Linked DNA regions of Styela clava. The protein of the gene in region 2 purifies or fractionates together with the protein of the main gene of each other region. This does not show direct contact. Links are inferred from orthologs where the notes say so. Each region holds a gene or a part of one and is shown on either strand. Other genes may lie near its edges.

The links.
Region 1: the proteins of DNA-directed RNA polymerase III subunit RPC5-like (region 2) and dynein axonemal assembly factor 10-like purify together in Homo sapiens (affinity purification with mass spectrometry; 3 studies listed by BioGRID and IntAct, with this or other methods). This does not show direct contact. The link is inferred for Styela clava from reciprocal best matches to the Homo sapiens genes POLR3E and DNAAF10.

Annotation. Positions count from the first base shown.
Region 1 is NC_135262.1:8,035,342-8,051,947, forward strand, and holds dynein axonemal assembly factor 10-like, read left to right. Parts: upstream 1-8,877; 5' UTR 8,878-9,028; coding exon 9,029-9,256; intron 9,257-9,630; coding exon 9,631-10,461; 3' UTR 10,462-11,267; downstream 11,268-16,606. Other genes in the region: sodium/hydrogen exchanger 8-like, read right to left, coding at 548-699; sorting nexin-25-like, read right to left, coding at 2,752-5,814; vacuolar ATPase assembly integral membrane protein VMA21-like, read right to left, coding at 5,824-6,141. UniProt on the Homo sapiens protein: Key assembly factor specifically required for the stability of axonemal dynein heavy chains in cytoplasm.
Region 2 is NC_135260.1:20,666,608-20,683,044, reverse strand, and holds DNA-directed RNA polymerase III subunit RPC5-like, read right to left. Parts: upstream 6,252-16,437; 5' UTR 5,767-6,251; coding exon 5,731-5,766; intron 5,398-5,730; coding exon 5,269-5,397; intron 4,963-5,268; coding exon 4,758-4,962; intron 4,639-4,757; coding exon 4,519-4,638; intron 4,304-4,518; coding exon 4,143-4,303; intron 3,833-4,142; coding exon 3,748-3,832; intron 3,652-3,747; coding exon 3,487-3,651; intron 2,562-3,486; coding exon 2,441-2,561; intron 2,068-2,440; coding exon 1,956-2,067; intron 1,635-1,955; coding exon 1,506-1,634; intron 1,322-1,505; coding exon 1,219-1,321; intron 1,095-1,218; coding exon 466-1,094; 3' UTR 420-465; downstream 1-419. Other genes in the region: copper chaperone for superoxide dismutase-like, read left to right, coding at 9,657-9,680, 9,952-10,062, 10,503-10,605, 10,763-10,943, 11,310-11,370, 11,432-11,509, 11,576-11,658, 11,730-11,871; enolase-phosphatase E1-like, read right to left, coding at 12,512-13,365, 14,390-14,447. UniProt on the Homo sapiens protein: DNA-dependent RNA polymerase catalyzes the transcription of DNA into RNA using the four ribonucleoside triphosphates as substrates.

The DNA.
Region 1 (16,606 bases), on a different chromosome or scaffold from region 2:
ATTTACTGTATTAATTGCTACAAGAAGCAAATACATGTTCCAATTTCGTTCAATTACATATGTCGTAGCGAAATCAACATGTAAATACAACATATAATATAGCATTCTAAAATACGACACTGAATCAGAATAATGCCTCAAAAAAACTTGAAACATAAATCATTTTGAAATTTACTTTCTTACAAAACATTGCAAAACAACCTAGAATAAACCTGTATTCAATTTTAGGACCCATGTCAAATAGAGCCATTTCAATATCTCTGAAGTAAAAGCTGATTATATCTCAGTGAAGGCTTGTTCAAAGCAAAGCAGTTATACACTTTATATTAATTTACCAAGCTTGTATAAGATTTTATTATTTCTCAATAAAATTGATAATTATTCTCAAAAAAATAAATAATTTAAAATTCACAAAAATCATTTTCAAAGGCAGTTTTCGAATACTAAATCTATTCCATTACCCAACATTCCACTAAGATTGTTCACCAGTTTTCTCTATTTATATTACTTTAATTAAATTGCTTTTATAATATAGAAAAAAACATACAAAGAGTCCACATTCGTGTTTTTTGGTGCATCTTCTAAGGCTTGGCATGATATACAAAGAAATAAAACCAGGAATAATGATAATTTCCAAGTGCGGCCGATGGTTGAATATGTATTTATTTTCACTACGTAATTTACATTATTAAAAATCATGTTTAACTATCATCTGTTAACAAAAATTGCACAGTACAATGAATCCATTGAAAAGAAAAGAGCAAAAAAAAACACAGATTAAACCTTATAGTATCGCAGGATACATTCCAGTTCCAAATCCCAAGCACCCCCCCCCCCCCTCACCCAGGATATAACGTATTGAAATGGCAATTTCGAACCAGAACAATTCCAGCCCCCAAATTCCATACCCCTAGATATCAGTGGCTGCCCATACAGGCCTTCATTTCCGAGAGAAAATGTGAATTAGCGTCATATAAGGAAATTAATAAACACACAATACATTAGAAATATCATAGTTCAATTTTTCAACAAAACTTATGATAAGGAAAACAGCATTTTAACTGTAATTCACCAAAAGCATGGCTTGTGAATAAAGTTTTCTTTGAAAAATAAAGTAGTTCTTGAAACAAAGTTGCAGAACTGTACAATTGATAAATGGGAAGTTTAGATTTTAGAATATTCAGAAAGCCTATTCATAAGAATTCAAAGATACCGGTAACTCCCATCCCAATATCCAAAAAAATTGAAAAGTAAAACCAAAATTCCAATTGAATTTTTTATGATATCGCCATACTCAAAAGCACTCACTCACTATAACAAGTAGTAAAGCACGCACAATTATAAATCAAAGTATGTATATTGAAATCAAAATATAGATTGATCTTTGACAACGCACCATTCATGATAACCAATGCTTAAATTTTTTTTGATCAGATTCACAAGATGTGCAGTACCAAATGTTATTCAAATATCCAATAAGCGACTCTTATTTATTCTGCACTACATTTTGTCTCAATGTCAATCAACAGATAGATATGTCATTGAGAGGTTTCATAACCAATAGCCTTATGTGCAAAAATAAATAGACAATACATTGAAACATTTAAATTAACAATCTCATATGAATACAGGATGAAAGGACCTGGTATTTCCTGCAAAAATAGCACGGAAATGAGTAATAATTGTAACAAAGAACTCATGTACTACCTAGTTATGTTGTAAGTATTGTCCAATTAATTAATACAATTCAAAAAAACAAAAAAATTTCTATCTGAAAATGAGTTTAATTAAACCAGAATTTCGAATTCTCAATAATTGGGAGGCAGTATATCAGACTTTCATTGGCTATAAGTGGTCTCAAAAGAAAAAAAATTGAATTGAAGGCTTGCATACCCCAAGCTTTTGTTCGATTTGGTTTCATGAAGTTCAGAGCTGAAGTAAAAATTTTCTTTAATCTGGAATTAGGCGAGATTCAAAAGTCAGTATTTATATGGCTCTCGGAATTTGAGGTCAGACGTAAATTTTTCCCATCCCTGATCCATATATTCAAAAATAGTTTGATTTAAATGATTTGAAATCCCACAAATATAACTCAATTCATGAAAAATATTTTCTGTGATACAACTTTATAAGTGAATTTGAAACAAGGCACATAATGAGATGTATAAGAAATAGATATCACCAATGAATAAGTCTAAAATAAAATTATGTTTGATGCTTCGTTATATGATTTAAATACAATATTTGTGACTGTAATTGATTATTATAGTGTTATGAAAACTGATGTATCATTCATGTTATGATGACAACGGTGGTTCATGTAACTGCTGGTCAGTTACAAGCTACAGTTTCCTCCAACATCAAGTCCATGCATCTGAAACAACTGGTTTAACTAATCCCATACCCGACAAGGACCAGAAACCAGACAAGAGCACTTGGTCGCCAGGTGTATTGACAATTGATAGCACAGCTGTGATATAATTTGCTATACAAAGGAGCATTTGTTGAAGTTTACGGTACAGTAGCTGTGCTTGCTAATATCCATGTTAATTTGTACATCTTGACAATTTAACCACAAGTTCAGAACCAGATCATTTGATAGCTAGGTTGTTAGGTGGATTTGCAATTAAAATACATCATTTGCCAATTTGCATTGCAATTTCAGCTTCTTAGAAAAATGTATTCAAATATTAAGATACCCACATACAAATAACTAATGTTAAAGATTAATCCCAGTGAAAAATTACATTCCTATTTACTAATAATGTCTGGAAAAACCTCTTCAACCATTTCACATAGTAAATTATAGAAAATATGTTTGTTCAATTTCTCATCTTGTAAGGCATGAAAAATCTTAAGAATGCCACGTCTCGCATTCTCTTGGCCAATTAAGCTTTGAAACGCTTCAGGGATATTCTGTAACAATTTAACTTGTGCCTCCAAAGCCGTTTGAGTTTTCTCTTCTTCAGATCTTGAGGATGTTAATTTTGGCTTTAGTTGTCCATCGGGCCACATCGAATCCATAAATAATTGAAGATAGTAAGTTAGCATTGGATCAGAAATAAGCCAATGTAAAGTATCTTTAATTTGTTTATTAATGGTTCCACCGAAAGCAAGCCTCACAAATATAACTAATGTTTTACGTAACGGACGAAACAATCCTTGAATTTCAAATATTTCTCCGACAAGTTCATACAACGGTTCAGCAATTGAATCTAAATCAATCACATCATCTGCATCTGTTTCATCGCTGTCAGAAAGATCGTCTTCGGATCGCAGAACCGACTCAAAAATATCTTTTGGTAATGTAAAAAGTAAATCACCAATTTGCCATAATGATTTTTTACGAGAAGTTTCACCGGTAGAAAAAAAGGGATTTGAAGTATTCCTGCGATGACTTTTTCCTCGTAGCAGAGAATCATTTTTAGATTGTTCTGGTGGTTGACTGAGAAAGGCATAAACTAATTCACTTCGACTTAGTATTTCATCTTCTAAAATATCTTTCAAATATTCGTTTAAAACTACCTTTGATTTATCAAGAAATTTATCCGATATACCACCAAACATAGGAATATTTGGTAAACGTTTCTTTTTTAACCAAGGTCGGAGATCACGAAGACTACGGTGCAATAATTTGAATTCATCAAGATTTCTTGCAACGACCCAACCAGAAACATCATCTGTAACTTCCAAAAGAGGGACACCAGAACACAATACAATTATACTGTAAACAGGGACTTTCGTCGCATTTTCATCATTAATAGGCAAAATAGCAACATTATCAATATTCGCACTCCAATTTCCCATTCGAGACCACCACGTTTCCGTTCTTTCGATGTGTAATTGTTGCTGCAATTTGTCCTTCTGTAAATCAGCGATATCTTGTTGCAATTGCTTCGTCAATTTCTGATCTTGCTTGCCACCAGGTTTGAGACTCTCCAAAGCTTGTGCTTTATATTCCAATTTTTCTTCAATGTTGCGGAGTTTTTCTATTGCTCCATCAGATGGTGACTTTCTATTTCCAAAAGCAGCTGTACGGTGCGAATAAGAATCGTCTTGCTCAGGTTGAAATATTGCATCCTCGGAAGTACTATCATCCCTTAATTGTGGCATCAATTGGTAGATGTAAAAATCGCTGACCAAAAAAGATGGAAAATGATCCTTTTCTAGTATTTTATAAATCTGTTCTTGGAGAGTGAAAAAGTCATCTGGAGCTTTATTACCCACAACACAAGTTTGCATGCCCTTTAGTAATGATTTCTCAATATCAATTCCTAATTCATCAGAAGTGCCTGGTACTACATAAGTTTGATAAATATGACTTATGATTTTAGCAAGGTTTTTACCAGTAGGTTCGGTATCACGGATAATTTCAACTTCACTCCAAAATTTTAACAACGACCCACGTCCAATTTTTTTCATGTATTTCATGAAATAGCTGCGAGCCATGGGAGATGCCATTACCTCAGAATAAGAAAGCAAATGAACGCTTGATGTAATGGCTGCCCCAGATGCCTCGTCTCCAAATTTAGGTTGATTTGAATTGCCATCTCCTCCTAGTGCTTTTATTCGTTTTTCGCACTGTTGTCTTGCGACTTGACACTGATTAATATAGCGTTTCAAGTCTCGAGATATCAGTAATTCTCCCTTTGCCATACTCTTCGCTTTCCCCAATTTTTTTTCGTTTTTTTTTAAACTGCTTATTGCAGTAGCATGCATGAGTTCTGTCATGATGTGACGTCTGATTTGATATAATTGATTAATATTATCAGTACTGCTAATTATTCGAATAAAATCTTCGTAAGTTGCGGCATACATATACGCTCGTGTTTTCTCCTCTTGCTCAGATTCTCTATGTTTGATATAAGCTAATATGCTTAGATTAATATAGTCAGGATCACAAATACTATCAATCATTGGCAAAAATACCAAACCAGCCAGAATTTCTCTCAAAATCAATTTTGAACTAGAATTTGACGATATATGAATGGGGAAACATAACTTTATAATATATCCACTAATACGGCGAAGAAATTCCTTTTCTGAGTTGGTATCATAGAGACAAGGGTGAAGACTAAAAAGTTCAGCATTCTTTCGTGAAGGATCTGATGCACTCAGTTCTTTAAAATATTGTACCAATGTTTTTACGAATCTATCCATCACTAGATGTGTTATGTCAACTTTGGAGAGATGTTTTGAAAAATATCGATACGCCTCCCAAAAGTCAGCCTTGACTAACTTATGCAAACGTCCATGATCATTGCTAACAGTGGCATACCATGTTTCCACAAAGTCTCGGAATGTGTATTCAAATATTCTATTCATAAGCATATCAACATTTTGTGAAACACAAACATAGGTTCCACTTTGTACACTGCTCCGATCAGGAATTTTACCAAGCATGGCTATTTTGGTTTGTATATGTCGAAGAGATGTACGAGGAGTCTCATGCATGCGGTAATGCATGTGAATACTTTTTGATAAGCCTTTCAAGAGAACAACAAAAAACTTTTTAATATGGAAAATGAATCCCTCACCAGTTGGTATATCATAATAAGTGCGATTCCGTAATATTCCATTCTGATTTTGCGACCACGGATATTTATCAACTGCATAGTCAACAGTTTTAATCGCAATATAGATTCCAGTCAATATACCAATCAATGCAGCAACAATCGCAGAAACCATATTGAAAACTTTAGAAGGGATTGCTGTGTCAAACATGTATACGATCCACAAGATTAACAAAATGAGAGTTAATTTCCTCCAATTAGAAAAAACAGTAAAAAATTTCAATTTCCGCAAGACATCCATTATTAATGTCTAATCAGTCTTTTTCTTTTCTACAACTTTTTCTGTGTAAGCGGCGTAAATAAAAAGTCCGAGAACAACATGAACCACTACAATTGAAGTTAAAGCAGATGGCACAATACTCGCATCTTCTGTGAGTTTGAAAAATCCTTCGAAAACCAAATTTTTTGCAATATAATATGATGATATTGGACCGGTCACCATAAGAAAAGTATAAAATAGCATTTGTATCACTGTTGAAGCTGGGACAGCACCTTGTTCTGCTTGTTTCACTGTTTCTTCATGTAGTTTTTTCTTTAAATATTCTTCTGAACTGGTATTTTCTGACATTTTATATCAGTATTTCATTTATGAATTAGCTGTTAATTATGAGTATTTTCTCTGGATCAGAATATAGGCATAGCTTATTTTGAATTGTAATCCAATCACATAACACTGTACGGTAACACTACAGCATTACTGCACTAAGAGAGAAAACAATCAAAACATAAAATACAGTACTGCAGTAATACCAGGGACCCTTCAGAACCGCTGTACCTACCCAACTTGTAGACGAGTCTGCCAGTGCTGTAGTGTAGTGACACAGTGATACCGGTACGATTGCTTGCAAATGCAGAAATGTTTGAATGTAATTAGCTATAGGTAGTACTATATTTACCTTTCTAATGCGAAACTGTTCGTTCATCACATCACTAAAACACATGATTGAAAACATTGACTCGTCTTCGTAGGTTAGCGAAATACTAAGAACGATAAACCCTAAGTGACTATAACCCTTGGATAACCCCAACCTCTAAATCTAAATGATTGACTTGCATCTTGTCTCATGCGACACAACAGACAGACAGACTGACAGTGACAGGTCAAAATTTATTCAATCAGGAATAGCGGACTTGCACGGTTCACGTGACTTTGTTTACGCCGCCATTTTGGACGGCAAAAAATAAATAAAAACGTCCAGACCTCGCTCCTGTCAGTTGCAAGTCGCGTTGATTAATGACATAATAAATGACAAATCAGGCATAGGGCAGATCTCCAAATGTTTAAATTCAAACTGTGAGTATTTCAACTTACAATGTATGTGTGGATTCAAACAAAATATTTTAGATGTGGAAAATCACGGGACTTGCCATTTTAATATCAGCAAGACTACAAGAAGATTTATCTAAATTGTGATCCAACAGGCGGAGTCTCAAAAAGGTCGTGTCCCACTAGTCCCACGTGTCTCCCTTGTCCCACTTGTACCACGTGTTCCACTTGTCCCACGTGCCCCACTCATCCCACGTGTCGCACTTGTACCACGTGTCCAACTTGTCCCAATTGCCTCACGTGTCTTACATGTCCCACTTGTCCAACTTGTCACATGTGACAAGGGGGGTCAATGAGTCATGCACTAGGTGACTAGGGTGTCCATTTGACTTGTGTAAGAAATTAATCATCAGTTGTCATAAAGTATTATGCCCGATACATTGGTACATTTTTAATTCGTGGTACTAGAAAAAAGTAGTTCCCGGCATTCTTATTGTATGCTAGTTTCTAGATTGTTCAGAGAGGGAGATTTGTTGTCACTAAAACAAAGTTAACGCTATACTGTATAAACATAAGCCAATAAAGGAAATAATTCAACAGTGATTGATTATTGTTTTGTGCGGATCGGTTTGTAGGACTGATAATGGTGATCTGGGCTCCCGATCCATGCGTATAAGTTGTATGAAAGCTATCATGATGGCATGGTATAGTACAAGGTGGTCCGAACCCAGGCCCGCGGGCCACATGTGGCCCGCCGCTTCATTATCTGTAGCCCGCGTCACATTCGGAGAGTAATCGATAAATCGCATTTCGTGTTGTTTCGTAATTAAATTAATCAGAAAAATCTTTTGACATCCTGTTACATCACTAGTGTCAATGAATTTACTAGTGTTATGGCTAGCTGAGGCAACTAGCGAAGTTGAATGATGTGCTTGGCAATCTAAATTATTATCTGGCTTTCTATCTTTTTGGTCGGGAATATATGCTAACAATATAGGCATCATAGAGAACTAAAAATCGAATGCGGATTCTATTAGCCTGGGATGGCTATGTCTGATAACTATGTGTTTGCACAATAAAAGTGTTTGTTTTGTATTGCACTGTTCAACTATTCTTGGCACTATTGTGGCCCGTGAACAATGAAAAAATAAATTTGTGGCCCGCGGAGCCGACAACCTAGGACCACCCTGGTATAGTAAATGATGGCAGACAGTAAATCGTTCATATAACATAAGGATTAGAATTTACATATTTATCCCGAAGTAGAGCAAGGTCTATGAAGCGGCTCCTATTGCGAGCACCAGTCACCAGTGCATGTCGGGTATGCGATCAGTTCGCCAGTTATTTGTTTCAGATGCATGGACTTGATGATGGAAGAAGCTTTTACCGACTAGCGGTTACGTGAACAACCCTGAGGCGGGTAGGAGTCCAGTAACCTTCTTGCACATAATTATCTTCCGGGATTCGAACGTGCGAACACAGGCAGATTAATCATACTTGAGGTGACGAACGCATGCCTAGCGCTTAGAACGATGAGCCTTGTGGGATGGGACTCTGCCTTTGATGTGGCCCATTTTTGAGATGTTCTCCCCATTTTGAACATATTGTTTCCGACCATTTACATATGATGAGATCAGATAAAATGCTTCCCCGCGAATTCCGCAATGATATAGACTTTCTAATAGAATATAATGATTTACTGTGTCGAAAGCTTTCTCAAGGTTTAAAAAAAACAGATGTGTTCAATAAGAGAAAAAACTGCCGACTTGAAATTCAAGATTTTAATAAAATTTAAAACGAGTCGAAACTAGTCGTGTCGGATTTTCCCAGAATTTCAACATACAGTAGTTGTTTGAATGTGTGTCCATTTATTGATGATAGCTTTATGTTTCTCTGATTCCCTCAGGTCTATAAGAAAAATTATATATTTTTTTCTATAACAACAAAAACTGTATTATATGATGGTTGGATAAATAATAAAACTTCTCTTTCAACACGTCGATGCTTTGTATTCCAAATTGACCAACTGATTCCTCGTGACATAAAGAGAAAATCTGGCAAGCATGCTGAGGAATCAACGTCCCGTTTGTTTTGAAAATCCAAAGATATTTCGGCTAACCTTGTCAACGTTCTCTGACGCTCGAGGTTTGCTATCTGTTTTTTGTAGCGTTATCTGTCCAGTATCGACATGGAAAAGCCACAAATAATAAGTCATATCGAGAAATCGCTAGACTTCACGTTATTTGACTGCAAATGGATACCCAGGAGTGCAAGGTTTGTTGTTCTCGGAAGTTATCCGCGCGGTACTGGTGCAATTTTGGTGTATGAAATATCCCATAGAGAAATCAAGAAAATTAATGACAAAGAAACACCAGCCTCTATGAAATGTGGAACGTTTGCTGCATCGTCATTACAGGTATGTCATATACTGATATAGGTTCTGACTTTGCGAACATTTGTACTGTATGGTACCGTAACGTCTGAACGTAGGTACGGTACCTGCAGACACAGAGACATGAACTGGCAAAAAATTCCCGGTTTTTATTATCTTTTTTTCACCGAATGGTATAGGCCTACCTAAAATCCTTTGTTATATGGTAGGCCTACCACTCTTTTGACAAACTTCAAAGAATACTAGACAGATACGAAGGCATGATCTTTTGTATCACATGATTTAATAATGTTTTACTTGTGAAATTTGTTGAGGAATAGTCATGTTTGACTCCCTCTCTATCATAGCATATGACATGAAATTGCAAAATATTTCAAAAATTTTAAATCACTTTTCAGTCACGGAATCTAGCAACTGGGGACTTTAGAGGGCACCTGACAGTATGGGATATTGAGACTATGCAGGATGTATATTCAGTACCAGCACATAATCAAATCATTAATGCAATTGATGGTGTAGGAGGATTGGGTGTTGGAGAAGGTGCACCAGAAATTGTCACTGGAAGCCGTGATGGTTGTGTAAAAGTGTGGGACGTTCGCCAGAAAAATGTTCCTGTGGCCAACATGGAGCCGGAAGAAGGGCAGGAGACGAGAGATTGCTGGACTGTTGCTTTCGGAAATGCTTTCAATTCAGAAGATAGATGTGTATGTGCGGGATATGATAATGGTGATATCAAATTATTTGATTTGAAAACAATGTCTATTCGTTGGGAGACTAATTTATCAAATGGGGTTTGTGCAGTTGAATTTGATCGGAAGGACATAGCTATGAACAAATTAGTTGCAGCTTCACTTGAAGGAAAGTTCCAAGTTTTTGATTTACGAACACAGCATCGTACTAAGGGTTTTGCTTCGCTTACTGAGAAAGCACACAAGTCTACTGTGTGGCTGTGCAAACATTTACCGCAAAACCGAGACGTGTTTGTGACAACTGGAGGTGCTGGGTCATTAAATCTATGGAAATATGAATATCCTCCCAAGAGATGTAAAACAGAAGACAATGAACAAGTCGGTGTTGTTGGTAATGTTCAGCTACTGCAGAATGCAATGCTTTCAACGCAACCTATTTGTGGATTTGACTGGAGTCCAGATAAATTAGGCCTAGGAGTTTGTACAGCTTTTGATCAATCACTGAGGGTAATTATAACCACAAAGCTAAACTCTTTGTAGTATCTGTGCACTTCACATGCTTTTTTACTGGGATAGATTTTTAAACAGTGCCCATCCTGCATCCTTGGCTTTCAATATTGAGATGAATATATAATACAAACCCAACTTTTTGATTTATTGAAGCTCTCAATTTCATTGTATGTTTGCAGTTGAAGAGAGCAATATAGAATATTTTCGTTTCAAGTAGTTTCCTTTATACTTAAATATTGACCTTTTTGTACAGTAATCCAAAATTAAAGTATTTGTATAACAACTAATTACTCTGTAGACCAGAGGTGGGCAAGCTACGGCCCGCGGGCCAAATCCGGCTTGTTGGGTAATTCAATCTGGCCCGCCTCATGCTGCCGCAATCAAACTAAAACCATATCTTGATGTTTCAGCTAAAAATAGCTCAAGGAATTTGTTGAGGTTGCGATTACATTTAGTTTTGGAACAAGGCCTATTGTTTTCCACTTTTGCTTCTGTAACACTGTAAATATTGTGCATAAAATGTAACATTTTACGTCACACTTACATGGCCCACCAGTCTAGATGGCTGAAATTTTTGGCCCCATGGTCTAAAAACCTTTCCCACCCCAGCTGTAGACGATGGTTTTTTCATATAGAAGTTGCCAAAATTGGATTTAGAATGTTTGTTATTCTTTGTCTCCTTACTGTGATTAGTTATTGTATGTTCCACACAGAAAATATGCCTTTGTGCTCACTGTTTGTATTTGGACGAATATTATTTTCTGTAATCTGTACATACTTTCCTAATGATTTGTTCTATTGTTTTTACACACCTATGTAGTATATTTTTCATAAGATACTTATCATTGATGAGTTGGGGTGGACAAGTGAGATCAGTGACTTAGCTTAGTTGAATTAGGCCTACTGCCCTACTCGTAGGATAATGAATACAGGTGCCAACATGTTTTATAATTTATTTTGTGGCTAGGAATACTATATTTGATAACTACAATCATGTTGCGAGCAGTTGACTATGGTCATCCCTCATATTGACTCATACGTGAGAACAGAAATCCAGTGATTGTTCACTCCTGGGCAGTAAGTAATACGCTGTTTATTTTTCATGTTGCTGAGAACGCACAAAAAATATGCGAATCGAGGTTTCAAAAAGATAGTAAATGATTAGGAATCAGAGATGCCGTCAGTGCGATCTAACAATACAATGTTAAAAAAAATTTGAACTTCATTCCTGATTTAAAACAATGGATGTTTTCCTTGACCCCAGAAAAATATTACCTATACTTTAATTTGCAAAATTTTGGATGCTCATATTGAAAGTATTTTCGATAACTGGCACTTACAAACTGATTTACATGCTGAAACCATCATTTTTCAATATAAAATGCGACCTCGTGCCTCTTACAGGTACCGGTACTGCTAGCTAATTTTCGAATATTGCAACTAAACATAAAGCTCATCGGAACACACCATGACAATTAAATTACTACATTCCCAACTAATTTTTGGAAACACAACCGGGAAACTGACAAATAACAGGCGAAAACGAGACAATGTTTATTATAACCATGCTTGAATATCTGTCGGCGCAAACGGAGTGTCTGCAAAAATTGCAATTGTTGCGTCCTCGTTGATTTTTTTGCTAATTGGCCATTTTTAAAGAAATCGATGCTCGGGGAAGCATCCATAGGATCTGAATTTCAGTGTAAAGTGAACAAAACCTGACACTTTCAAAAAGAAGGAAAATTATGGAACGTAGGGTACCTTGAATTCTCACTATAAAACTGCCATACCGGGTGATTTGAAGCGAAGTAGAAACAAGTCTTTGCTCATTTGATTATATCGAGCCTGATCCGTAGCCTATTATTGTCGATCGTCACCGGTTACTGAGTTAGCCTTTTTCGACAGAGACCACACAAACCCCCCCGATCATGTCTATATCAGAAAGGTATTCGACGGGCGTTTTATTCGCATATGGCATTCATTGGGGCCATATGATATATATCTAATCACAGTGGCGGCGCGCCAATAGGGCCAACCGGGGCAATGCCCCGGTTGTTTTTTCGGTATAATAAAGAAATATTCGAAAAATACCTCAATATCGGTTGCACAGACTGTCTACACTAGCCATATTCTCCCGACATGGTTCATTTTTCGCTCGCAAAGCCTTCGCCGAACGTCGACGGGGTGACGTCGATTTTGCCCCGGTTGCTCATTGTATATCGTATTCTCTCTTTTATCTTCCACTCGCCGCGTTTGCCTCGTTTGTTTTCTGTTTCTTTTACTAAATCAACGGGGCCGATCGGGGCTAGCCCCGAAATTATGACGACACAATGCCGACGTTTCTTACAACAACGTGTTGACATATTCACGCATTCCTTCTCGTTCGTTGGTTGCTTGAAGAGTTGATAGTTTCCTCGCCTTCGTTTTTGTCGCTTGTTTCGCTATTTGAATCAGTTAGAGACCTTCAGTCCATTTGCTTTCGATTTTCCACATTCCTTTTGAGCTCCTCACTTCTTTCCGGCTTCGCATTTCTTAGCCTTAGACCTCAAAATGAATAAGGTTGATGCACTACTTCGCACTCCGTTTTCGCAGCTGCCGCTGGAACAAAAATTAGAGGTACAACGTCTTGGGCCTTATCAACCAAAAAATTGTTCACTGGAACAATCCCATGACGGAGGAAAGCGTCGGCGTACATTCTGCGCAGAAACTTGGTATAAAAAACACGAATGGTTGTGTTACAGCAAGGACAAAAATGCACTTTTTTGTTTTTATTGCCTACTTTTTGCTACCGCCCGTGACTCACGTTGGTGTAAATTTGGTTTTAGAGATCTTAAACATCTTTTCGAGCGTGCCAGGGATCATCAATCTTCTATGGAGCATCTGGACAATGCAGTAAAATACCGAACATTCGGAAATGTTAATATTGCAGCACAGTTGGATGAAGGACGCGCGGTTTCTATGCGTCGGCACAACCAAAACGTCGAGAAAAACCGCCATGTTCTCGGTCGATTGATAGATGTTTTGAAGTTCATTGGTTGTCACGAGCTGTCCCTCCGTGGGCACGATGAACGGGCTGGCTCTTCTAATAGAGGGGTATTTTTGGATATGGTGGAATACACCGCATCCCTAGATACAGTATTGAGAGATCATCTTGATGCCGCAACTGTTTCAAAAGGGACATCTAAGGATATCCAAAATGATTTGCTCGACTCAATGTATAAAATTTATTTACAACATTTGGCTCTGGAAATTGAGAATTGCCAGTTCCTTTCGATTCAGTCTGACGAGACAACTGACATCACGTGCGTTTCCCAACTGGCTGTGATTTTTCGGTTTGTGAAAGATGGTAAACCTACCGAGAGATTTCACAGCTTTGTACCAATCGTTGATCGCACGGCTTGCGGGATATCGGCTGTACTGAAAGAAGTGTTACAGCCTCACAACGCGAAGTCAAAATTGATAGCTCAAACTTATGACGGCGCGGCAGTCATGAGTGGGTTGAAACAAACATGGTGTTCAAGTTTATATAAAAGAAGATTTTCCTCATGCGCATTTTTTACATTCTTATGCACACCAATTTAACCTCGTTATTAAAAATATGTGTCTTGATACCCCTCTCGTCCGTATATTTTTTGCAAATGTTTCGGGGTTTTCTTCATTTTTTTTTCGTTTCGCCGAAGCGCTCTGACCTCCTTCGCCATCAATGTAGCCACCGTCTCCCAGCTTGTGCACCAACACGTTGGAACTTCCAATCACGCGTGGTGCAGGGCGTGTCCGAAATTAGGTCTGAGCTCATTGAGTGTTTCAATAGCATTCAGAGCTCTCCGGTTTGGGACGAACGCTCTGTGAGGGAGGCGGCAGGTCTAAAGCGTCTGCTAGAAGATGGTGAGTTTTCATTTTTTCTCCACAATATTCTATCACGTGGATGTATTATACGGCGCATTGCAGTCAAGGCTAATGGATGGAGCGTCTGTGCAGTCGTGTATTTCAGATTTCTGCGATGCTGTATCTCGTATCCGGGAAACAATAAAATACGACGACACATGGAGTGCTTCTTTACGCCGCGGGCAAACAACGCAGCGTTTGATTTTGTCTGCAAAGGAATGCTGTGACATTCTGGTGAATCAAATAGGCGATCGTCTGCGCACTGAACACCTTGCCGCGTTCTCTTTGATGAACCCCAAAAATTTTTCAAAATTTGCACGTCAATTTCCCATCCATTTGTTGGCTACTGTCTCCAAATTTTACCCCATGATAAACGTGGGTAAATTGGAAAATGAATTGCGATGTATATACACCAATCAAACTTTTTTGAACATCACATCAACTTGCGCGCTCTATGGGTTCCTCATAGATAACACTCTAGTAACTAACTACCTTTGCGGCGTCTGCAAAATTTCTGGACATCATTTTGACGACGCCTATTTCTTCCGCCGACGCAGAGCGAACATTCAGCACGCTGAAGCGTATTAAAACGTATTTCAGAAACACAATGAAGCAAGATAGATTAAATTCCTTGGCTGTTTTATCCATTCACAGAGACGTTATATCTGGGATGCATGACTTTAATCATCGCGTTAGGATAGGATAGGATTTACATATTTATCCCGGGGGAGAGGAAAGCCGATAAGACGGCTTATCCATATGGCGAACCACGGCCTCTCGCCCGGTTACCATTCCGAGTCGGGTATGGGATTAGTTATATATTGTTTGTTTCCGGAAGCATGGACTTGGTGGTGGAGGAAGCCGTAACCGACCAGCGGTTACGTGAACCACCCAACGACGGCGAGGAGTCCAGCAATCCTCTCGCACATAACCATCCCTGCATGGGATTCGAACCTGCGAACCCACGCAGAGTAATTAGAGGTGCGGTGGCGAGCGTATTCCTAACGCTTAGCCCGTTGAGCCACATCGCCGCGCCGAGCATTTTGCTTCCAAGAAACCAACCGCGGCGTGTTGCATATATGTTCAAGCAGTAGAAGTCTAGCAGCATATATATCTATGAGTGAGCGACGCATGTCCTTATCTTTGCATTACCTTTCTTCACATTTTCACATTTCCTTTCTTCATAGTAACGTTTTAAACCCTATTTTAGGTTTTGTCTGCTTTCCCGAAGTTTCTGTTAATAAGTCATTGTATTTATCTGGGTAAATATTGCCTTTCCTTTTGAAAGAGGTTTCAAAATAAACTCTGTCTATATTTATCAATCCCTTGATTTGGACCGGTTTTAAAGACACTTTCTTATCGTTAAGAATTGTCGCTTTTGCCGATTGGTTGTTACCGATGGAATGGTTTTTATACTCATAAAATGATGGGAGAACTTACAGCGCTCATCCTGTCCCCTTAGATGGGGGTGACTTGGTCCCGCAGTAGCTTGCCCCGGTTGTCAAAATGACCACGCGCCGCCACTGTCTAATCATATGCCAGGCCTAACTTATATAGCCTCATCTATGCGTTTTCTCAAAATTTAGCAACAATCTTCATCTTAAGTCTCAACCCTCCGTGCCCCGAGTCTTTGACAAAAAAATACAAATATATCGAGTTCCATTAGTAAACCGTATTCAATTGGTGAACAGGAATATATGCGCTTTATCTACATCAGTGGTCGGCAAACTTTATGTACTTGCGGGCCAAATATACACATTTCCGGCAGCGCGCGGACCGCAATATTTCCGCCTTCGAACAATCGCTACATTAAACTTCAAATTATGGCGCACTCGCACATTCGCTGTGTTAAAAGCATGCAACAATGAGTTGTGTATGTGGCCTTTTATATAATCTTATCAAACAATACATCGTTTTTATTTACTTATTATCTATGTGACGGATGATGTTTTTATGGCAACTTGGTTGCCGTCGTCCAAATGACGATCTGACAAGCCAGTACGAAATTTATAAGTGTAATGCATTTTAGATAAAGCAATATGACTTCCGAACTTGCAGATTACACGTTTTGCACTGTCGCACAAATAAGCTGTGGCGTAGTCCCGGGGTCGAATTTTCGATGGCACGTTATGTAACGAGTTAAATCCCTTGATATCCTCGATGCTGACCGGGCATATAGAGCAAAGTAGTTTTGGAATGAGCAAAAAAGAAAAAAAATTCGCGTCTAAGCACTTTGGAATGTTCGACCCTCGTCCAAAATTTCCTCCGTTTCCAAGACATTTTAAAATTT
Region 2 (16,437 bases):
CACGCTTTTCCAGTTTTCACATTTCCGTGCGGGTACAAAAATAAAATAATTATCATTGTTCCCGCGGCACAAATTTGTGATTTAAAGAGACTAAACGCCAATGTAAAGGGCGTTCACGGCATAAATAACATGCCGCGTTGATGAAACGAATGGCGATTTTAGCAGAAGGCAATTGCACCTGGCTGCGCCACTGAATAGAACAAACGCCAGTTTCGCGTCTCCCAAAATAGTTACAATGCAAATTAATTTGATGAGCTCTAATACTAATAATTTTGAAAAATGGTGCGGCTCTCACACATTTCTGACTTGCTGCATGCGGCTCTTATACCAAAAATTTTTCCCACCCCTGGCATAGTGGAATTATTAACCCCAAAAATCACCTTGGCTGTTCAAGGACTATCTAATAAAAACATTCAGGATATTGTGCTCCTAATTTAATATAAATGATCCAACAGAGCAATAACGCTAAGACACATGATCGATATTAATATTAGAAATATTGTTAATGGATTGTTCTTCATTAACTTCCATTGCTGCAGATTGGCCATTGGTGCATTCCAAAGCAGCGTCATATGTTGGCGATGAAATATTCATTTGAGGTATGAAGTATTGAACTTTCTGCTGCGGAGAACCTCTCTTAATCATCTCTGTGGCGACAGATTGTACTGTAGAATTAACCCCAGCTATGTTGATTTTTGGGCTTAATTTTCCAATATCTCCCATAGCAATAGGTACAGCTGAATTTACAAGGGCAGCTGCTCCATCCAACCCATGGAAAGGTTGTTCGCAAATAGTATTTACACAAGTAAGATTGCTTGAATTCTGGGAAGGATCTAGTTTTTTCACAGATGCAACCGATTTGGGCATTTCTTGGATAGATGTCCTCTTAGAATTAGGAGACATTGGTACAGATTTTACTTTAGGTGACTCATTAGGAGCTTGATGGGATCTTGCAGGACTTGTTTTATGACCAGATGATTTGCGTTGACGCTTAGAAACAGTTTTCTTTTTGTTTGATACACCATCTTCTGATGAAGAAGCATTCTTTTTCCTTCTTGGAGGTGAAGAAATTTCTTGTTTGATGTGGACTGAATCTGAGAAATATAAGAATGCCATTCATATTTTTGTGAAAAATGGGTTTTTAACATCGCAGTCAAAAGTAATGCTTCACTCTCATGCAGAACTAGAGAAATTTGCCAAATTGTTCAGGAAACTTACTCAGATCTCCAACAAGTTCCGTTAAATTTAACTGTTTTGCTAGTTTGGCGCCTTGTGCATTCCATAACATTGTCTGACGCTCACATACATCAGGAAATCGATTCTGAAACATAAAACTCACAAGTGAGCAAATAATTTATCTTCAATCACATAATGTTCCGTTCGTATAATCAAAATCACGCCAGAATTAGTGAATCTCTAGAAGAAAAATTTGTACCGGTAATACATATTGACAAATAAAAAAAGTAAAAGTCAGGAAGAAGATGAATATATAACTATAATCATACCATGAAGTCATTATCAGGTCTTAATCTTAGTTGCCATCCATGACCCATTCTCATTACTGCAATGTCTTCTAAAATTGCCTTCACATCATCTCCAGGCAGTTTCACAGTGTTGGTGATTTCTTTTCTGACCTGTACACAAGATAACTTTATGTATGCAAGTCATGACAATGCTACAAGCAAGAATGGCGTGCCACAAATGGCGTCGCAGTGATGGGTGCATCAGCCTAACTATGCTAGCACTGCCAGTTACAGATTCGAATTTTAGTCAATCCATAGTTCAGAACAAGCCCAATATCGCGTCAAGGATGTAATCAAATAGCAGGATCTGTCGAAGCAGTAAAGCAATAAGATGCCGATAAAAAAAACAGTAGATCAATAGAATTATTGATACAATCACTGAGCTTCATATTCACATAAAATAAAGATAATTCAAGCATGAGTTCTACTCACTAAAAACTCCTTCCTTGTGAACATGTACAAAATATAATCTCGACTTTTGCACAAACTTTCTGATGGAGTTCCTGAGATTGGGCTTAGAGTGTTAGCTGGAAACAATACCTCACTGTGAAAAAAAAAACGGCAATAAAAAAAGTATAGCTAACCAGTTGATCATTCATTCCAGACGGACGGTAGAGAGGATGACAATTGACTAGAGGTTACATGACAGTGGAAAGTCTTGCGATACCTTATCAAAGACATGCAGAGTGGTCAGCTACTCGATGTGAAGCATATTTTCAATGCTTATCTCTATGTACCAACCGCTCCAATATATATGCAATATATCTTTTAGCATGGCAAAATTCATCTTCTATTGCAAATACTTACACCCCTACCCAAATATCTATGAGTTACAAACACGAGTCAGGACGAGTGCTTGCACCTCTTAGTCAAGTTTATGTCAATGCTTTTAATATACACAGTTAATTGTATTTCACCTCTTCACAACCCAGCAACCCTTCACCAGAACAGCATATGATTGCAATGATCTGACAATGATACTGACATCTGGTGGTTCAGGTAGAAGAGATATCAGGTGATAAAAGTGAAGAATCTTGGCTGAAAAGTAAATCAGCATGTTGGCAATATAGTATGAGCATATATCGACACCTCAAAACCAAACAGTGCTAAGTCCACTTTTCCAAAAAATGACATTTTTCAATTGCTGATTTTCCTGGACTTAGCTCTACATTTTGGTCTATTTGCCTTATCTCTAGGTGCTCTAGATCTCAAGACAGCTATGGACATAACCCTGCTTTTTTAGGGCATTTGAGAACTAAACAGAGCTGTGTCTACTATAGTGGACTTAGCTCTGGATAACTGCATTGTAAGTGGGGGCTAAGTCCGTTTTTTGGACATAGCTCCTCTCAAAAAATATAATACAAAGCGCTAAGTCCATACCAGCCTCTATAATAACATAATAAAGGGGCCCTAAGTCCAATAAAATTGTTTCTGGTCCAGAAAATTGAGAGCCAAAAAGGGTTAAGTCCAAACCCCCCCCCCCCAAAAAAAAATTGGGGCGGAGCACAAATTTGTTTATACCATCTAAATATGGCCTTCATTGTAACTTTGGTGGACCATAAAAATTAGACATCCTCGATGTAAGGTATTAGAGAAATAAAAAAAAGAAACAAAAAAAAAAATGTTTTTTGCGTTTTTCTCAAAACTAGAAAAATGGACCTAGCCCAATTTGGATTTCATGCGTCGATATATCTGGTGAAATGATCAAGGTATTACCCCTTGTTGCAACCACTATGGGTATAATAGAGATTGGCATTTTAACATGAAAAAATTGGGAATCTGTAAAATCCCATTCGAAAGAATAATGAATGGGTTGAAATTTCAACATGAAAATATAACAATTTTGAATTGAAAATATAATCTGAACGAAAAGCTCTTTTTTCATAAAATTTCCTCACATATCTAACCCCAAATAATGAATATTAAAAGATAAACTAAACCATACATCATATACTAATCATACCATTCTTCATTAGAAGTTTCAGTTGATCCCCTAATGTTTCATTTTTCAACAGAGATAAAGATAGAACATTGTCAGGTATTGCACTGTTATCAACTGAATGTTCATCATATACTGGAATTAGTTTGGTGAGGTATTCATGTGGTGTTTGTACCATTTCAGAGAAAGCTGTAAAAAGAAACATACGATACCGAGTCAGGCTGTATTCAAATCTCAGCAAAATTTAGAATTTCAAATCATTCAAAACAAAATTATAAATTATACCTGTAAGAGCTGGGCTTAATTTATCGTCAGGTTGTCTAGTGTTTTGGCAAATAAGTCTCTGTCTTTCTCTTTCTGCATAACTGTCCTTTAAAAATATGCAATAAGATTTCACATTATGATAAGAGAATTTTCCTGTTATGTCAAAAAAAAATTTAAGCCCTCTCAATATTGTGATAAATTGCAATTTGGTTAAAGAAACACATGAAATGTTTTGAAGCTATATTTTTGAGTTGTATTGAACTTTGGGCAAATACACAATAACTCAAAATTGTAATCTCTCCATTATGCAAATAACAGGAAAGTTTAATTAATAAATAGAAAATTGATTTCATTGGAAACCATCCATACCACATAATGTTCAAAACACATGTGCTCAATATTTGTAACTGTCTCACCAATTTATGGTGTACTTTAACTTCTATCCATTTTTCATCTGCAATTCTTTTTTCATAAGCAGCATAAGATCGTTCTCGAGCCAATCGAACTGCTTCTGATTCAGCTCCTTTCACTCGAACGGTTACAGCCTTAGCTTCTTCTGCCTCATCTTGGGACGAATCTTCCAAGAAAATTAGATATATCCTTATCATTTAATAAAATAACATCATAAGAAATAAAAAAAATATATAAAAACTTACATGAAGTTTAATACATACATAACTAAAATAATTTTAGCAGGCTAGCAATGTTTATTTATTTAGGATAGAAGACCTAGACCTTGTTCATTAACTGCTGCATATCCGTGGGAAATGTAGACATGAAAGTCATTATTACCTGCTTCGGCTGCAGCTTTGGCCTTTGCAGCTTGTGATGCTCTATGTTCCGCTCTATCCATATATTTAAAACTTGGCTTAAGTTGCATGACATGAGATATTGGAGTCAGATGTACCTCATCTATAAAAATGTCAAGTAATTTTAGTGGTTTCTTAATCTTTTATTTGATTTCTTAATAGATATTTAAAGTAAGATAGTAGAACATGGCTGTAACTTTCACCAAGAAAGACTAGGTTTACCATGTTGAACAATAGCAGATACATATCGTTTTCCTCTCGCTGGCACGCAGCTTGATTGTAACGTCTGTCTGTCCATAACATTTGTATCGAATGTGGTTGATGCTTGTATTGTTCCGACATTTCCATCAACATTCAATGCAATCTGCTCTCCTTTGCTTTGGTCATAGTTTGGACTGCTGATGTCAAGTGATACATCCATTTCAATCTGGATAATGGAAAAAACAAAGTGAGATATGGTGCTCACAACAATTAGTAAAAAGGAACGTGTCTCCTTATGTGACAGTTTTGAAATTTTTTTTAGATGTTCTATTGCAGCTAACTAAGGCATACAAAGATATCTATCAACATTTCTCCATTAACAAGTTTGACTTTGCACATCAGCAAGCTTAACATGAAATTACACCCAGTTAATAATTTTAACAGAATAACCTGACTGGTTATTAACCAAAGTTAGCATAAATTTTTGATAAAAGACCTGCCAACGATAAGGAAAATTAAACAGTGAATTTACTTTATTATTTTGTGGTTTGATTTTGGCCGTATCTCGATCCTGAGACCCATATTTTCGTTTTACACTTTGCACTGGATATTGCAGCAAGTAAAGGCGTCCAGACAAGCTTTTGGACAAATAGACATCAAACTGAAACAATAAATTTAGATTCATTATTAGGGTCCATTGTATATACAGATTGATCCTATGGTCCAATATAGTTCATTTCCAAAAGAAATGAAAGTACAGAAAAATCAACAAGAACTTAGATTTGAATTACAATAATATGTCGAGTAACATAGTGCATAATTTTGCAAAATTTCATCAAGCCTATGCATAGAAAATTAGAATGATAGATATTTCGACAGTTGACTAACTTGAGCCAAATATATTGGTGACAGAATGAATGAAATATCCATCCATTAACTGCATTAAGCGCTTCCTGCATGAAATTTTAATTATATCACCAAGAGTAAGACCTACCTCTTTCACAACTTCATCTTCTGTGGTGGTTTCCATTATCCTGTCATCTGACGATTAATCTTAAACTCTAACCACAAAACCAAGATTAAGATTGTTTGCCCTTATATCAGTATATTGTTACACAATTCAGCAGTTACAGAGTTTTGGAAGGTCTGTCAGTATGTGACAAAAAATGCATGAAATAAGATATTGAAAGCAATATTTAAAATCTGAAAATCCAAACGTACGGTAACGTCGCCGTGCTTTTGAGCGGCCTTGAGCATGGACTACCCGTACTGGGCACAGATACAAAATGAGGTCTGCATCATGTGTAGGGCTGCTACTTTTGTCTGACTAAAAACATTTAGATTGACCTCGAAAAACATCTAGATTGAAAAATAAAACATCTAGAAAATACATCTAGATGAAGTCATTAAATTTGATGAAAATCGACGAAACAAGAGCATACAAAGTTTGGGGCTCCCGAAGTATGCGAACCAAGATGGCGGACATCGGAATGTAATATGTGTACTAGGTTAGGGTTAGGCCATAATTTTAGGTATAAATACTACGGGAGGCTCTTGGCTAGTCTTCGAACTGATAATTTAATAGGACTAAAATAAGGAAAATTGGAAAAAAATTATCGCCTAACCCTAACCTGTTACGTTCTGATGTCCGCCATCTTGGTTCGCATACTTCGGGAGCACCCAAAGTTTAATATATTACATAGGATTAGATGTGGGAGAAGCTAACATCTGTTGATATTGTCACTTCAGAGGGGTTTTTATGAGTTTTTGCTGTACATATTTTTTTGACAACCAAATCAGCAACTTATAAGAAATGCAACATTCAGTAAATCTGTCTTTACAGCTTTATGCTCTTTCTCAGTTTATTTTTGTATGGTTCATAGCACTTTAAAGTAAAGAAAGGCAAATTCAATAGCATTTAAATAACTTTAGGCTATCATTTTAAAATTCTGAAGTGAGCAACTTGAACTACCGAATTATTCTCACCACCTGGCAACAATACAAATATACAATACTAAACATTGATTCATCGGACCAACGTCCACCTTTCTATTAAATTATGTAACTGAAACGTCACATGTTCTAAACATGTTTAATTCGTTATTCGAATAATTTAATTACATATGGTACCGTACCCGTACCGGTAGACGAATACAATTTAATGATAGTCTACATCAATATATTTAACTTACTTCTAAGTCTGTAATTAATGAAATAATATTCATTCACATATTACTGCAGTACCGGTACTGTATTACAGTACGGTACCGTATTAGTCTATACACATCGTTTTATTTATTTCTCACTGGATAATATTCGGAACGTCGAAAAAAAACATCTAGACGCCAAATTTTACATCTAGATCTTGATATAAAACATAGAGTGGCAGCCCTGAATTCACAAGATCACGTGGAAACACCGCCAACAGTCGGACAGCACGGTAACATCTGAACATGTGTGTCAGTGTGTTGACAAGAAAAAAGCGAAAACAGTCATATCAGATCGCCGACAAAGGGTTGATTATCGAGAATGTGTTGCGAAAATACTGGCAGCGGTGGGATTCGAACCCACGCCATCGAAATGACTGGTGCCTTAAACCAGCGCCTTAGACCGCTCGGCCACGCTACCAAACCGCTCTCCCCAACGTTGAGAAGACAGTTCGTCATTCCGCCTATCGCCTCTTGGAGGGAGGGGGGGAATTAGTCTGGCGTATCAAAATTTCGCTTTTGTTGTTTCCTGAACTTTGAGGTCAAATCGTGTTTCGAGAGCAAGCTAACATACAACCATGGTTAACTGAATAGATACAACGATGTTCCGACCGTCGTCGGGTGCGGCCGTGGATACTTGAAAACACTAGAGCAGGGTGGTCCAAGGTTGCCGGCTCCGCGGGCCACAAAATTATTTTTGCATTGTTTGCGGGCCACAATAGTGCATAAAAAATAGGTAAACAGTGCAATGCAAAACAAACCCTTTTATTGTGCAAACACTTAGTTATTAGACATATAGCCATCCCAGGCTAATAGAATCTGCGTTCGATTTTTAGTTTTCTATGATGCATATATTGTTAGCATATATTCCCGACCAAAAAGATGGAAAGCTAGACAATAATTTAGACTGCCAAGCACATTATTCAACTTCGCTAGTTGCCTCAGCTGGCCATAACACTAGTCAATTCAGTGACATTAGTGATGTAACCGTAAATATATACTATGTAACAACATATCAAAAAAATTTTCTGATTAATTTTATTACGAAACAACACGGAGTGCGATTTTTTCATTACTCTTCGAATGCGACGCGGGCCACAGATAATGAAGCCGCGGCTAATATGTGGCCCGCGGGCCTGGGTTTAAACCACCCTGGACTAGAGAATGCTACGCACTGTGTGTTTCGTTATCTACAGTTGGATTTGTATCGCGTAATATCAACATGATCAAAGCCCAACCACCGGAATTAAAGAAGTTTATTGATAAAAGATTGGATTTGAGGTTAAATTGTGGACGATCTGTTAGAGGTGTTTTGCGAGCTTTCGATCCTTTTATGAATCTAGTTGTGGATGATGGAACAGAGCGCAGATTGTTGTTATACATGTACACGTCTCACATTTTAAAATTGAATTAGAAGGTATTGCCCGATTTTACATCGTGTTTTTGTTTTATTAAAATCTTTTGACTGTTTTTGGTGGACGGGCACGTACTTGTACGGTTTTACCTTTTTTATTAAGTTATGCCCGTTCTCCAGATCCTCTGCATTTTGTTTGTCCGTTTGTTGTTTTCTTTCAGAGTGACCGAAATAAAACTGATGTGTCCATATATTTGAGCATAGCTTTCTTGTTTCTGTAACGGTGACCAACCAGAAAAAAGTCAACGATGCATAACAATTGAAATTTTTAATCAATCATTTTATTTCGGTACTGACATAAACAACACAAAAAACATAATAGACAAATGTACGATGGTAATGGGAATATATGTTGTAGTGATAATTAATGTAATGAATATTGTTGTAGCACATATTTAAAAATAATGCAGAGATAGAATAAAGTTAAAAACGTACAAGTAGACTACGTGCCCACCTACCAACAGAAAAATACACAAAATAGTGAAAAACATGTGATTAAGATAAGCAGTCGTATCGCCTCCCTCAGAATAAATATTACCTAAACTAGCTAGTACGTATAAGCGACACGTTGTTGTATATTTTAGTGAAAATAATGAGTATGTAAATCAGTTTGTAAGTGTCAACTCTTCGTGTCAAAACGATGAGAACAAAAAGTGTCAAAACGTTTGCAAAATAGGCATCCAAAATTTTGCTATAGTAAAGTTATGTTAATCGTTGAGTATAGGAAAGATTATTCTGGGATCAAGCGTCGGGGAAACAACCATATACATGCGGGCAAATGGACGTTTCCCCGGCCCTTGAAAATACTTTTATCATCGCAAAATTTTTAAATATGATTTTGAGAGCGTTTTAGAGAGTTTGCGCTCTCAAACTGGTTCACATGTTTAAAACTATCATTTTAGTTCAAAACAATAAACAAGACCGGTATCTGAGCGGAAGAAGTGTCTGAACAGTGGGATAAATTCCCACGTCATTGTGAACTTATTGATGATTTGTTATTGTTGTGTAAATAAACAAGAAAATCGATGCTCGGATATACATTCATTTCAAAAGCCCCGAAGTTTTATTTTATCTAACTACTTTTCGGTCGTATATTTAGGCACTTATGTTAAATCATCAGTTGTAATTATTTACGGTTAAATCGTAAATATGGTTAAATAAATAAATGAGGTATCGACACGCCTCAACGACCTTTGGTTGCGCAATACCAGAACCGATTTCTGGTTCACATTCTAGTGAGAAAGGAGGCGAGAACACTTCATCGCGGTACAATAATATCATCAATAACACTGGGGTACAATGGAGCATGATTCTGTCGCAAAGGTAAATTTCATTACGGTATTACCTATTATGTTATTGAAATTCCTCATTTCAGGGAGATGAATACAGAACAAAATTTTATTTCATTCAGATGGGCTATTTGTGCATTAAAAGACTAATAACTCTGCGCAGGTTAGAATTATGTAAGGAAAAATTAATTGCAGAAGATTCCTGAAATCCTTGTTGTCATAGAGTGGTTACTGTATCGCTTCCTCATCATCATTTCTCTCTCTTCTGCCTTTAGGTTAAAAATCATATTCTGCTCTTATTTCAGCTCGAGTTTGTTGTCTCAATGACTTGTAACACTTGCGTGGAAAAGGTAGAGAAAGTGCTTTCTGGAAACTCCAAAATAATCGGATCCAAGATAAACCTCAACATCCAGCAGGTTGGCTAATTATAGCAAGGAGAATATAAATAACTATAAGTTTGAATCAACACAACCTTATAAAGACTTACTGTGTAAATAACCAGATATGGGGCATGTTGCAGTCTTCAGCTTCATTACTGTAATTTCCCTAGTCATATTCTTCACGAAATTTCTATGGGCTTCCGCATTTCAAATATTCTATTAAAACTAAGACAGTGTTACAGTCACTATTGAATTTGGACTGAAAGTTATCTTGGATTCAGTTTTCAAGTTGTAATAATTCAAGTTTATGTTTCAACATTCCCTATTTCATGAGCATTGTCCATGTTTAAAAATTGATAGTAGCCTACAATAATTACAAAATGAATTTTAAACTATTTTATTCAAACAACAATCTCCTTTCACAAACAGTAGTGCTGATAAAAAGACACATTTTTGTGACTATATTTATTCACTAGGTAGTTGTTGACACAGCACTGCCTTTCGAAGATGTACAAAAATTGATTGAGAGCACAGGAATGCAAGCTGAATTGGTAGGAATAGGATCTTCTATGGGAAAAGGTTATACATGTATATTTTCTATTACACAAGATCATTGGATGCTGTTTACAACTATTGGGAAAAAGCAGTCGATAGATTCAGGATCATTGATTTACTCATGTAACACATGCTTCAACTTTTTATCTATTGTTATAATTGAATGATTTAACCTACTTAGATTTAGAACCCTTGGGAGCTGCGGTGGCAGAAATTCGTGGAAATTCTGTCAAAGGAATTGTAAGGCTCGCACAACTGACAAATAACCTTTGTTTAATTGATGGAATTGTTGATGGTCTCTCTCCAGGTTACCATGGACTTAATGTTCACACTTATGGAGACTTGTCTAACGGATGCGAGGGGTAATATGTTATATCATTAGGAATGATGCATACTATTTGAATTTGATAAGTAAATTTTATATCCATGTTGTCAACGTCACAGGGTATAAATATCAGGTTATGGCCCTGACCAACCCTTTTTCCACTGCGCACATTGTTATGAACAAATCGAAAATTTGTAAGGCTGCGCACATTGTTATGAACAAATCGAAAATTTGTAAGGCTTTGTAATGGCACAAGTAATGGCTATGTCAAACCCTATTGTGTTAACAACTGCTTAAAAATGAGCTTTAAAGTTGTTTTATCACTAGTTAGCGAATAACATAATACCTAATTGAGTAAGAATGAAACTAAGTATAATTCCACATGTTACTGTGTTTTCAACAGGTGTGGTGAACATTATAATCCTGATAACAAGCGTCACGGAGATCGTCTCGCTAAAGAGAGGGTAAGTTTTTATCACTTTCCATAGTTTCTAATGTGTCATTTAATGTTGTTTGGCCTTTCAGCATGTCGGTGACCTGGGAAATATAAAAGCTAACGATGGTGGACGAGCGAAGTTCAGGTTTACGGATAAATTTCTCAAGGTATCTTCCTACTTTATTTCAATTCACACAGCAAACATTTGTAAGAGAACATATCCTTCATTTTAGGTACATGATATTATTGGAAGATCAATTGTTATCCATGAAAATCAGGATGATTTTGTATCGATTGATGGAAATTCTGGTAAAGGGTACGAATTAATGTATTTTTTTTATCTGGCTTCAACTCAGTACTTACCGCTTGACCTAATTATATTTACAGCGTAGCATGTGCAATAATAGCAAGGTCATCAGGGCTGTTCCAGAATTCCAAACGATTTTGCACGTGTGATGGTATCTCAATATGGGATGAAAGACATGTTCCTAATGTTGGTAAGGTGCGTACTGAATTCTCGCAGCCTTGAGATGAAGAAGTAAGGCTCCATCTGGCAAATGAAATATTTCCATCCTGCTGGGTCTTGTCTAATCACTACCACTGCAAGATCATCATTCTTCAAATGGAATCAGTTCATTTTACTGGATTATTATTACATCATACATAGGGTCCTGGATCCGAAGACATTCCAAATTTCTTTTTCAAGGGAATTACTCTATGCTTAGAATTTCAATACTCGACACTGGGCAGAATTTTGCAACAAAAGGTTCACAAGCTAGCTAAATCTTTCCTTTATCAGAGATTTCCAGAGAGAGATATATGTTTTGTATTATAACTGCTAAGCCCAAACTAGCAACTTGATAATTTCTTGGACTCCTTCAATGGATGGTTGATTTAATGATAAACAGATCTTTTCAATATTTTTTTAACTTTATGAATTTCACCACATAATGCACAAACCAATTATTTCCTAAATAAAATGTTATTTAAGTTGGGATTTATGTAAAATATGCCTGCATGCTAATTATTAGCTTAAAAGGGAATATGCGCCAATCAGTAGTATTTTGCTGTCCAATACTGGGATCAGCAAAACATTACCAAGAATATGCAAAGACACATGCTTCCCAAGGTTTAGGAATACCAATCACTGATTACTAAGTACCGTAGTTTTATTTCTTGAGGGACTCGTCAACTTTCTGACGCTTTTCTGGAATATCTTCCTCTGTGAATACAAGTTCAGAGAACGATTTTATTGTTGTAAATCTTTCCAGATCATCTTTTAAGATGGGGTAGTTTCCTGGACGTAGCACAATACAAGCATTCATTTCAGCTGTTGTTGCTGCCTCTGCTTCAGCAAGGACATCTGTCAAGAATATAATATTTTCTGGGTTCTCGCCTATTGAATCTGATATCTTAATGTAACTCGACGCTTCTTTCTTCGCGCCAACATTTGTGTCAAAATATCCACTAAATAGTGGGCAAAGGTCACCCCTATTGCTATGTCCAAAAAGTAGTTTTTGTGCCTTTATACTTCCAGAAGAATAAACAAAAAGCGATTTTCCGTCAGTCTTTAGGGATTTCAAAGTACTCGGCACATCCTCATAAACATCACCCTTGATAAGTCCATCTGCGTAAGCAGACTGCCACATGTGGCCTTGCAACTGTTTCAAGGCTGTCGACTTTCTGTCTTTAGACATTTGCCACAAAATGTTTTTCACCACAGATTCTTGAGCACCTTTTTCATCATGTGATGGTATTAAAGGTACATCTTCAATTTCCGATTGTCTATCAGACTCTGCCAAAGCTCTTAGAGCTTCATAATCATCTAAGAGTTCTTTTTCATTCCAGTTTTTGGTCAAGTATGTCTTTATGTTTTCTTTGATGTATGGGAACAGGACTTCAGTGACAAATGTTATTGGTGTAGTGGTTCCTTCAATGTCCACAACAATTGCTTTAATATCAGTTTCAACAAACTCTTGCAATGATTTTCCTTTTGTGCTCAACTTCATTATTGCATAAAATTCTGTAATGGAACCAAAAGAAAAGGAAGTTTGACTGTTAGAGATTTCTGCAAACTATTGTGTGGTATTTCAGTTTCAAGCTACAAAATCGATTATTAATGTTAGCAGGGATAAAAATTGAATTAACAAATTTAGCAGAAAATGTAACAACCATTTCAAATTGTGTTACAGTCCTAAATGTTATAATTGCATAGCTCTGGTTAAACTGTTCCTGTGAGCAGTAGGAACCTAAGCATTTCGTCCTTAATGTGTCTAAATAGCGTGGCTGTTAAAAATGATGCGTCTTGTCATTGTATTTTCATCATCAGTGTTTTGAAACCAGTTATATTTTGCCAAATCGATGTTATGATTGCTCCTTTCAGCATTTATATTTATGCTAAGAAATTTGTCTTTATTAATTTTCAACCTCTAATTACATTAGAAATTCCAGTCATTTAGTTTTTGGCATGGCAACAATCTGCTTAGATGCCAATGGACTTGAAAACGCTTTCCTTTCAATTATATGGGTAACCAGGATAACTACCGGTATGTACATCATATCCTATCTTCATCAGCACAACATACGTTACCACATCGGTCAGCCAGTTACAGTTGAAGTGTAGGACTGTAGGTTACATTCAGTCATCAAGTAACACTATTCATTATTATAAACCTTATGTGTGTTAATTCTAATTGATTTATTGTACCTAATGTTCTTTATCATATATTCCATTAGTTCTCAATGCCCAACACTTCACCCCACATGGCTATACGCCTATACCTACCGACCGACGCCCCCTCAAATATTCCCCAAACTGTTATTGCCATCAATGTAGCTGAAGTGGGGAATACCCTGACAATTTTATGGTCTGGTGGCTCATCATCATTTTATTTCGGTATTCTGACAAAAAAGAGAACAACACAAAAAATAAACAGAAAAACAAGATGCAGAAATACCTGGAAAGCAAGAATAACTCGCAAAATGAAGTTGAAAAAAAACAAAAAAACAAATGTTTTTTTTGAGGGAGGGGTTAGCATTTATATCACCTGGTGTCACAATTAGTTCTGTAAATGAATCTGACGTCATAATTTCTTTTCTTTCCATCTTTGTGCGGTGACTAAGTAATTAGCTATAGAAGTAAGATCGGGCCCAAAAATTCCGCCCCGACCCAGGCCCGTGGGTATTAAACCCGACCCGAGCCCGTCTAATTAACTGGATTTGCAACCCAAGCCTGAAATTTCATATTTAATTTAGGCGTTCATTGAATAGTCATTGCAAGAGTTTTGTACAGTATGTGTCATGTTGATGAGGTAACTTCTGTTTTTTGCAGACCATGATCTTTCGTGGTCAAAACGCCTCATTTAAAAAAAAAGTCAGCGATTGAGAAGCCAGATCCGATTCGAACGTAATGATTGACATTTCCGGCCCGAATTTTGGGTCGGGCTTCAGATCTTAGCTCCAATTAGCAATGCCTATCCCTACAGCCGATATACATAGAATAGAATATTATGGCGTATTATTTCGTAAAACTAACAAAAATAATTATATAGCAATGTTGAAATTACGTGGCAAAATTAAACATAATTCCAAGATAAAAAGAACACAAAATGAGTACAAAGCAAAGGCATGTGTAATTAAAAATACTAAAACAACAGCCAGTTCAATATTCCTCATATTCACGAAAGTATATCAGTATTCTAATTGGTTAGGAGGATATCAAACTTCATGAAAGTTAAAACCATAACTCAATATTAATATTATCATCTCTCCTCATGCGTGGCACCCGTATTTCTACAATCGTTACTACTGCACAAACTGGAGCAGGCAAAAACAGACTTCACACAAAGGCATTTGCTGCTCATGCAATTCAATTTGGCACGGTTGTATTCAAAAGGGTGTGTCTATATACAAGAATATATATATATAAAATCTTATACAAGAACTTGTGATTTACATAATATGTTAATACGCATGCAGATTTTGGTGTATATTCATAAACAGTGCATTGATAGGTATCTTTTTGAAGATGAATAGTGAATATAAGTAATAAACATCAAAAGTGTTGTTAAATAAAGTAACTGAAAGATTTGGGCATTAAAAACGGTCTTGACAATGGAGAAGGGTACGAACTAAGCTATCCTGGGAACCAAATGAACATCTATTATGCCTGAGGGCGTATTATAAATTTAAGGTGAAAATTCTCCTACTGAACCTATTTGACGGTAGCGTCAGTTTCATAATGCACAAATAAGAAATCATTTTTAGCAGATAAGTTGAAACTGAAGACATGGCAGAAATAAGTGATCCTATTAAGGAGTGTTAGATGTAGATGCATATTACCTGAAAGTATTGTGGGACTGAGTTCCCGAACGGCTACTTACATTCTTTTCCACTTTGCGCAGGCCCCCAATTGCTAGATGATGGAAATGATAAGCCCAGTGATGAGAGCAGCGACAGTATGTCGGGTAATTAGCCAGTTATTTCAGATGCTTGGACTTGATGATGGAAGAAGCTGTAACCGACCCGCAGTTACGTGAACCACCCTACGGCGGCGAAGAGTCCAGCAATCCTCTCGCACATGGTTATCTCCCACGGATTTCGGAACTGCCTACCCACGCAGAATAACATTCCTAACGCTTAGCATGTTGCACCACACTGAACCTGAACTATGATCGTGTGAAGCGATTGCATATTTATGAATCCCCTTCTTAGTTGACCCGAAAGCTTTTCATTCATGAAATTTTTCCCAGCTTCCATCAACATTTTTTCGCAAGTTTAACAGCCAAGTGGATAGCAAGATTCATTATACACCCAAGATTTGTCTTTTTCTAAGTTACACTTTACTTTTACGCATGAACCTCAAAAATTCTCTGCAATTCCATCAACTCCACATTTTATCCAAACTTTGGCTACCATTTTGTTGTGATTTTTATTATACGCGCTAAGCGTTTAAAATTTTAAAAGTTTTTTCAGGGGTCAAGGGTCGGTGCAACTTCGATTCCTGAAATCTGCACCCACACTAGTGTTAACCATGGTTGAGCATTGAGGGTGTTGAGCACAAACAGAATTCGGGTCCAGGACTCCGAAAAACAGG